2 linked regions of the Rattus norvegicus genome follow. The protein of the gene in region 2 purifies or fractionates together with the protein of the main gene of each other region. This does not show direct contact. Links are inferred from orthologs where the notes say so. Each region holds a gene or a part of one and is shown on either strand. Other genes may lie near its edges.

Region 1 (3,880 bases), on a different chromosome or scaffold from region 2:
CAATCGCAAAAAAGCATCCAGAGACTACCTGACACGCTTGTCACATTCAAAACCATCTAAGGAGTTTGAAAACTGTAACCAGGGGCTGGGAGGATGGCTTAGTGAGTAAGAGTGTTTGTATGCAGGCTTAAGTACCTGAGTCCAAATTCCTATAGCCCAGGTAAAAAACTGGGTCTGTGTACCCACACACCTACAGCCCAGTACTGTGGAGCAGAGATAAGAAGAGTGCTGGGATTCGCCTGCTGGCTGCAAGAGAGGCTCAGTGGGAGGCACTATTCTCAAGGCAACAAGGCAGAGCAGGGAAACTGAGGCACTGGTATTTAATAACAAAATCTTTCCTAGATAAGGAATACAGTAAGAAGCCCAGATGCCAAGGAAAATGTGCTTTAACCTGCCCCACGGAGAAACCATGACCTCTGTGCCTCTGTCCCACAGGCTGGAAGATTATTTTTGCTCATGCTATAGCACCAACAAGCAAATGTCTCATTTCCTATTTAAAAATTTTCAAATCATTTTAAATTGATTTGTGAGATGCTCATGTATGTTGATTAAAAAGGTCACAGAATGCCTATGTGTTTAGTCCTGAAGGCTTCCTGCCTTTACCTTCAGGAAGAATCTAATATTTCAGGAGCAGGAGTAATGTCTATTCTGGAATACCAGCTCTCCAATTTCTCACTTAACCACCGCATACCTCACGGCAAACACAGGGCACACAGTTTGGCAGCACAGTAGGTTGCCTTTATTTACCATTTGTAGAAAATTGGCATTGCCATTTCAAGGTTTCTATTAAAAAATTATCAGCAGTAGTTCTGATCATTCAGCAAAGCTGCAGATTCCACGTTGCTGACACAAGCAAGGCTGTTACTCAATGCTCAAATGCAAGACATCCCACGAGCTTATCAGAGCACCTGCCAGAGCTCAGGACCCATTTGTGACTGTGCCGTCTTCCATCTCCTCTTCACCCTCATCACTCGGCCCTAAGAAAGAACCACGGAACACGTTACGTCCATTCTGTATTACCTACTCACTCTCATGCCACACACACTGATTAAAAAAATGAACATACATGAGCATGTGCATACGTACACACACACACACACACACACACACACACACACACACACACACACACACACACGACTGTCAACTGTGTTCCACAATTTGTGGCAGATTTCTACAGATTTCTGAGTTTGAAATCCAGCTTGGTAAATTCTAGAACAGCCAGGGCTATGTAGAGAGATCCTGTCTCTAACCACACACACACATGCACACGCGCGCACACACACCAAAAAGTTTTGCCATATTCAAATGTTTGGGGAAACTACTGGCAAGTCTGCCTATTATTTGGAAGCAAACAGCAGTTTTCCAGATGGATACACGTTACCACGCGTTGTTTGGCTATACCAGCAGTTTCTTACAGACAGCTCACAAAGTGAAGTTGAATTTTTCTTGGAATCCTTCCCATTCTCACCTCCAGCCCATTACTCTACCTTGCACTCTGAGTGCACCTTGTACCCACAGCAAGCACCTGAACACTTGTACGTCTTTCAAATGCTGACTTTCATGATTCATTAGCAGCCCCACTGACGTCCCCAGAAATGTTTGTAACATTAGACCCACAGACCTACATTTTCTTTAACTGTCTTTCTAGTAACGGTGAAGCCTGTGTGTCAGGGAAGTGCTCTACCAGATTTACATCCCCAGCCCAAGTTTTCCAAATTTTAATTTTTGCTTCAAATCTTCAGTTTTATCATTGGTCAGTGCTAGGGACTGAACTCAGGGACTTAAACATGGTTTTATTACTGAGCTCTATCTTCAGTACCACAGAAAAATCACTTTTATTTCTTCATGGAGGACCATGACAGAATGGTATATATTTAATGGGAGTGGAAGTAAGGAAGAAGAGAGCAAGTAGCATCCCTTGGCCTTGCTGAGGCACCAGCAGTTTTTAACCACTGAAGATGCTACTAAATGGAAAAAGCGAACATCTTGGAGTTACTACATAAATAATTTTACCTTGCCTGTCCCCAGGGGCCTAGAGACCACACAGTACCACAGTTCTTTTTTTTTTTTCCCGGAGCTGAGGACTGAACCCAGGGCCTTGTGCTTGCTAGGCAAGAGCTCTACCACTGAGCTAAATCCCCAACCCCTTCCACAGTTCTTAAAAATATCTCATACACTCTCCCTGAGGAGCGACTGACAATTGAAAGCTGCTGAAGTAGAAGAGCCATTTTCTTCAGCAGGGTACCCACTGTAACTTGCCCTTGCTCCAGCAAGCACCCTTACCTCATACTCATGCAAGCAATCTGACTAAATCTGACTAGGGTCACAAAAACTAAAAAGAACCAAAACAGCTCAAAGATAATGATCCTTGGGAAGCTGTCATGGTAGTCGTTCCAGGGATACTCATACTCAAATTTGTACTGTGTTTACTGTACTTGAATAGTGCATCTCTAGTGCTTGACATGCGGACACAAATTGGACATTTGAACAACAGACTTGTTAACACCTAGCAAACACAGCAGTCTTCCCGAAAACCTTTAATGACAGTACCTATCTGAAACTTAAAGATGAAGATATTTACCTTTAATGATGAAACTTGCCCAAGGACAGTACTGGTCAGGCTCTTCATAAGGCCTGTGCTGACCCACTAAACTACCATTTACAGCAACACCTTGCTTCCAGAGATTATGGTCTAAACTTTTCACCACTGGAGAGTTTGTTATTCTGTGAAGATGAACCTGACACTTACACACACCTAAATGGTAGAGGCTATTAACCCACCTGGTGAAGGCAATTGTTTTCCTAAACTATGCACATAGACAACATGTCACTGCTCTCAATAACACAGAGAACTGAATGCATCTGTACATATCTAAGCACAGAAAAAACACAGTAGAATACCAGGTGGAGGAATTCTGAAGCTGTTGCCCTGTGGAATCATTACTGTATATGCAGCGCGTCAGTCCACCAACATGTCCTTTATACAGCATGTGTCTCAGAAGTTCAGTCACCTCTAGAACCTAGTTCCGTCCATATGAAATGTTTTACTACAACTTGTAAAGACCCCATACATATCCCAGTGGCTTAAATTTCTTTATTGACCCTCCCTGCCTCCTGCCTTTGTTCTTCTTTTTCCTTTTCTTTCCCTTTTTTTGATAAAGGGTCTTGTATAGCCCAAGCTGGTCTCAAACTTGTTTTGTAGCCACAAATGACCTTCAACTTCTTACCCTCTTGGCTTAACCTCCCAAATACAGGGATTATGGGCCTAATCATCACGATAGTCAGCTAGTATTGTGTAATCACTCTAGTGTGACGTTTTGCAAGTTCAGACAGAAGAGTTTCCTCACCTGATCTGCGCTCTCTGCCAGGAATCTGGCCAGACTGCAGCAAGCCCTTCAGCCTCTCAACTTCAGCCAGTGTTGACGCGTTTGCTATGGCATTCTAGAAAACACAGGAAAGGGGAGATGGTGATGACCAGTACCCGGAAAGCACCACCGAAGGCCCAAGCACTTTCCCATAGAACATCAACCACACAGTTCTGGGTCAGGGAAGGATTTCACTGGCACATTACAAATCAACCTAGAAAACAGGCTGTCAATTTTCATATTTAGGAGGAGATTCAGGCTCTTGTAAAAGAGAAGTGATCATTTCATATGCCCTTAAAAAGCTAAGTCTGTCTGGAATCCTGTTACTGGAGACTTTAGGATTTTCTACCTACATTCCAACCAGGATTGTCAGCCAGCAAATCTTGGAAAGCAAAGAAACTAAGGCAATCTCCAAGACTGCACACCCAGGTACTTAACTGCTCAAAGAAGTAAATGGATCCTGGGAAAAGGAGAAGAATACAGATGCCTTCAACTACTTTATCTATTTACTT
Region 2 (3,815 bases):
GAAGCCAGGTGTAGTGGCCCAAGCCTTTAATCCTAGCACTCAGGAGACAGAGGCAGGTGGATCTCTACATTTGAGGTCTACAGAATGATTTCCAGAACAGCCAGTTACAGAGCAGCCCTGTCTCAAAAAACCAAAACCAAAATATAGTAAAGGAACAGCACTGAAATACTGTAAATATTGTGATTCTAGCAGTCACGAACCCTGCAAAACTTTCAACAATGGTTTCTGTTGTTTTGATTTTGAAACAGGCTGGCCTTGAACACTATGTGGGTGGGATTACAGCCATGAACCACCACACCTGGATACCAGTGGGCTTTCTAAGTTCTTTTTCTAATCCACACAAAGTCTACGCTTTAGGTCTTCAGAGTCTACACATACATTTCCTCAAGTGTGCTATCAATGTGGGATGGAACGAAAACAAGGAAACTCTTGGTGACTGAAGCCATAACCTCAGGCCCAGAGACCATACTAAAACTCACTCAGATTCTAATGCACACTTGTTTCCACATCAAGATGAAGCCTGGGTTGGGGATTTAGCTCAGTGGTAGAGCACTTGCCTAGGAAGCTCGAGGCCCTGGGTTCGGTCCCCAGCTCCGAAAAAAAGACCGCCCCTCCCCCCCAAAAAAGATGAAGCTTACTTTTCTCTTTCCTCTATTTCCTTCTGTCTTTCCAGCTCCCGCTGCCTCTGCCGCTCTTCTCTCTGGCGCTTCACCACTTTCTCATAGTCGTTAGGAAACATTGGGTCATATTCATCAGCCAAGGGGATCAGGACTTCCCCTGCAGAGAACCCACTGGGCACAGGGTCCTGGGGAACAAGAACACCTGAGTGAGTGCCGTATCACATCCTGCAGGGTTATCAGAGAAGCAAAGGTCCCAGGATGAGGCAAGAGAGGCCTTCCAGATTATCTAAGGATCCTTTATTTCCTGGTGAGTTGAGGCCTCCCCTCACCAGATGGCAGCACAACCTGGCAGTTAGGCAAAAGCTTATGTTGGGAAAAGCACTGACAATCACGGTAAGTCTTAAGTGAGGTTTAAACTGGCATCTGAGTGACATCTGTACATGTGAAAATGGATTACCATTTTCCAGACTTCCCGTGCTCCCTCCAGAGTCTCACAGTGCTACAGACACATAGCCAAGGATGACATGAACAACTCCCAAGCCTTCGGCTTCATAATAGGAGCCCGTTCTATTAACAACATGCAGCATTACGCCCCCCCCCCCCCTTTTGCCTTTCTTTAAAATGACTTCTAACACTGGTAACAGACAGTTAGAAATAACCTTACGGTTTACATTAGAAGAATGAAGTTATAGCTAATCCACTGGAGGCAATCCACTGAAACTATTAACACTGGCCATACAGGGACTGGAGATAGGCATTAATAAAGTCACTGACTGGCTTTCCAGAGGACTCAGGTCTCACTCCCATCACACATACAGTGGCCCCCAACTGTCCCACCACCATCCTAGGGATGCATCCGCACAGGCAAGAGGAACACATGCAGTGTACTGAAACATGAGGACAACACACTCACACACTCATAAAAGTATGTTTAAATGACCGTGTAGTTCTATTGTTTTGAAAAGGAGAAATGGACAATCACTAAACACAAATTAGAGAGCAGAAGGCCGAGAAGTTACAGAAAGATATTCTAAAATTATGTAATTTTGTAATGCATAGAAGGTATGTATGATTAAAAAGATAGACTTTTCATTTTTACCCATCTTTCATTCCTGAAGTTTCCATAATAAACTATTTTAGGTAATAATACTAGCTTTCAGTGGCCTACTGAAGAGACCCTTGTGGGGGCTGGAGATGGACAGAGGTTTACAGTGCTTACTGCTCTATCAGAGGATGGCTGGGAACTCGGTTATCAGCACCCACACAAGGTTCACAAATGCCTAACTCCAGCCCTAAGAGATCTAAGGCCTCCTCTGGCCTCCATGGGTGTGTGCATGAGTGAGCAAGCACGCTCAAGCACTCGCGCGCGCACACGCACACACACGCGCACACACACACACACATGAGATAAATCTCATAAAGAGAGGAACATACATGTAAAATAAAGAAACGTGGAAAATGCTTCAAACCACAGGTGGGTACGGCTTACCTTCAGCCCAGCTGCCACATGAGGTGGCGTGTCTACGATCTGTCGGTCATCTGAGGAGCCTCCTCGCTTCAGGTCGATGACTGGAGCGAGGACTGTACTTTGCTTTGTCCTTTGGCTCTGACACCAGAAACAAGAAAAATGCACCAAACATCCAAATTAAAATTCATGGTACTTGCAACAAAGACACCTTTTCTGGTCTCTGTAACAAACCTTTGGCTGAGATAAAATCATCCTTAAAGCAGTTAAGAGTCTAACACAATCAGTGTGCTTACTGTTTGCTGAGGGGTCTTAGGGAGCCCAGGCTGCCTCCAGTGCCCTCTGCAGCCGATGATGAACCTGGACTCCTGTTCTCCTCCCTCCACCGCTGAGTGCTGACTGAGCAGCAGACCCAGTTTATACACAGGGGCTTCAACACAGGCCTTCCTGGAAACTAGGCAAACACTCCCAACTGAGCTACAGCTTCATTCCCTTTTGCTCTTTTTTAAAAGCAGATTTCCTCTATCTATACAGTTTATAGTAAGTGTGGCCACTTTATGGCTGGCCTTAAACTTACAGACCTACCTGTCTGTCTCCAGAGGGCAAGCCCTATCCTACTTCTTTTAGAATGACTACCCCAACCAGACAACAATTATTCAATCTGTCTGTCTGCCTGTCTATATGTATGTTTGTATGCATGCATACTTGGGTGTGCATGCATGTGTGAGGGCCGGGTCTCTTCTTACACTATAGGGTTCTAGGGATCCAACTTGGGTCATCAGGCGTTGTCACTCACCGAGCCGCCTCACCACCCCTCCCTGTTTCCTAAACGTGCTTTTGATTTCCAAATCTTCAGCACACACCACCTCCATCTTCTTTGTTTTTCTCTGGGACACTGTTATTACAAGTGCTGCTACATATGTCTCCCTAACTTACAGCTCTAAGTTCTAGCAGATCTAAAACCTGTTTAGGTTGAGGTTAAAGGTAGTAGACAAGAATATCGTACAGCAAGCTGGTGAACACCACCAAATCCTCAGGTTGCCAGGATGCCATGGCAGATCATGCGGACGGACTGACGGTGATCACCAAAGTTTAACTTCTCGGTTTTAAAATTTAAAGTGGTACAAACTTTCATTCTTATCAGGAAGTCTGAGCTCTCTGGATTTTAATGGTGCTCTAGGCAAACAGCATATCATCAAGGTATTATATACAAAACCACAATATAAACCCTAACTTTCCATAATGGGCATTATGTCAATCACTTATTTAGTCATTTTAAAATTTAATTTTTCAAAAATGAAATACAAATGAAATCAAACCTTCACCTTTCAGATACAGGTAAATTTTTCCATACCAAGTATTTTTAAAAGTTTGGTTAGTACTCTGAGAAATTCACCAAAGAGCCCAAGAGAAACAATACAATGTAACTTCACTTCCTCATAAGAAATCAACCACACAGATGATAGTCCTCAAAACTCATGTCAGAAGGTTAGCAGATGGTTTAAAGTAATGTTCCATTCTGACTGATTAAAATCTATGTGCAATCTCAAGACAATTGCTAATAGCTGACATTAAAATATCTGCACAGCTGGGTGTGGTGGTACACACCTTTGATCCCAGAGTTTGGGAGGCAGAGGCAGGCACATCTCTGAATTTGAGGCCACCTTGGTCTACACAGACAGCTCAAGGACAAATATTGAGATCTTGTGTCAAAAAGAAACATAGAAACA

The links.
Region 1: the proteins of Rbm17 (region 2) and Snrpa1 purify together in Homo sapiens (affinity purification with mass spectrometry; 5 studies listed by BioGRID and IntAct, with this or other methods). This does not show direct contact. The link is inferred for Rattus norvegicus from reciprocal best matches to the Homo sapiens genes RBM17 and SNRPA1.

What each region holds. Positions count from the first base shown.
Region 1 is NC_086019.1:129,061,951-129,065,830, reverse strand, and holds the end of Snrpa1 (U2 small nuclear ribonucleoprotein A'), read right to left. Parts: intron 3,445-3,880; coding exon 3,351-3,444; intron 978-3,350; coding exon 919-977; 3' UTR 717-918; downstream 1-716. UniProt on the Homo sapiens protein: Involved in pre-mRNA splicing as component of the spliceosome. Associated with sn-RNP U2, where it contributes to the binding of stem loop IV of U2 snRNA.
Region 2 is NC_086035.1:71,849,649-71,853,463, reverse strand, and holds part of Rbm17 (splicing factor 45), read right to left. Parts: intron 2,227-3,815; coding exon 2,110-2,226; intron 806-2,109; coding exon 639-805; intron 1-638. UniProt on the Homo sapiens protein: Splice factor that binds to the single-stranded 3'AG at the exon/intron border and promotes its utilization in the second catalytic step. Involved in the regulation of alternative splicing and the utilization of cryptic splice sites.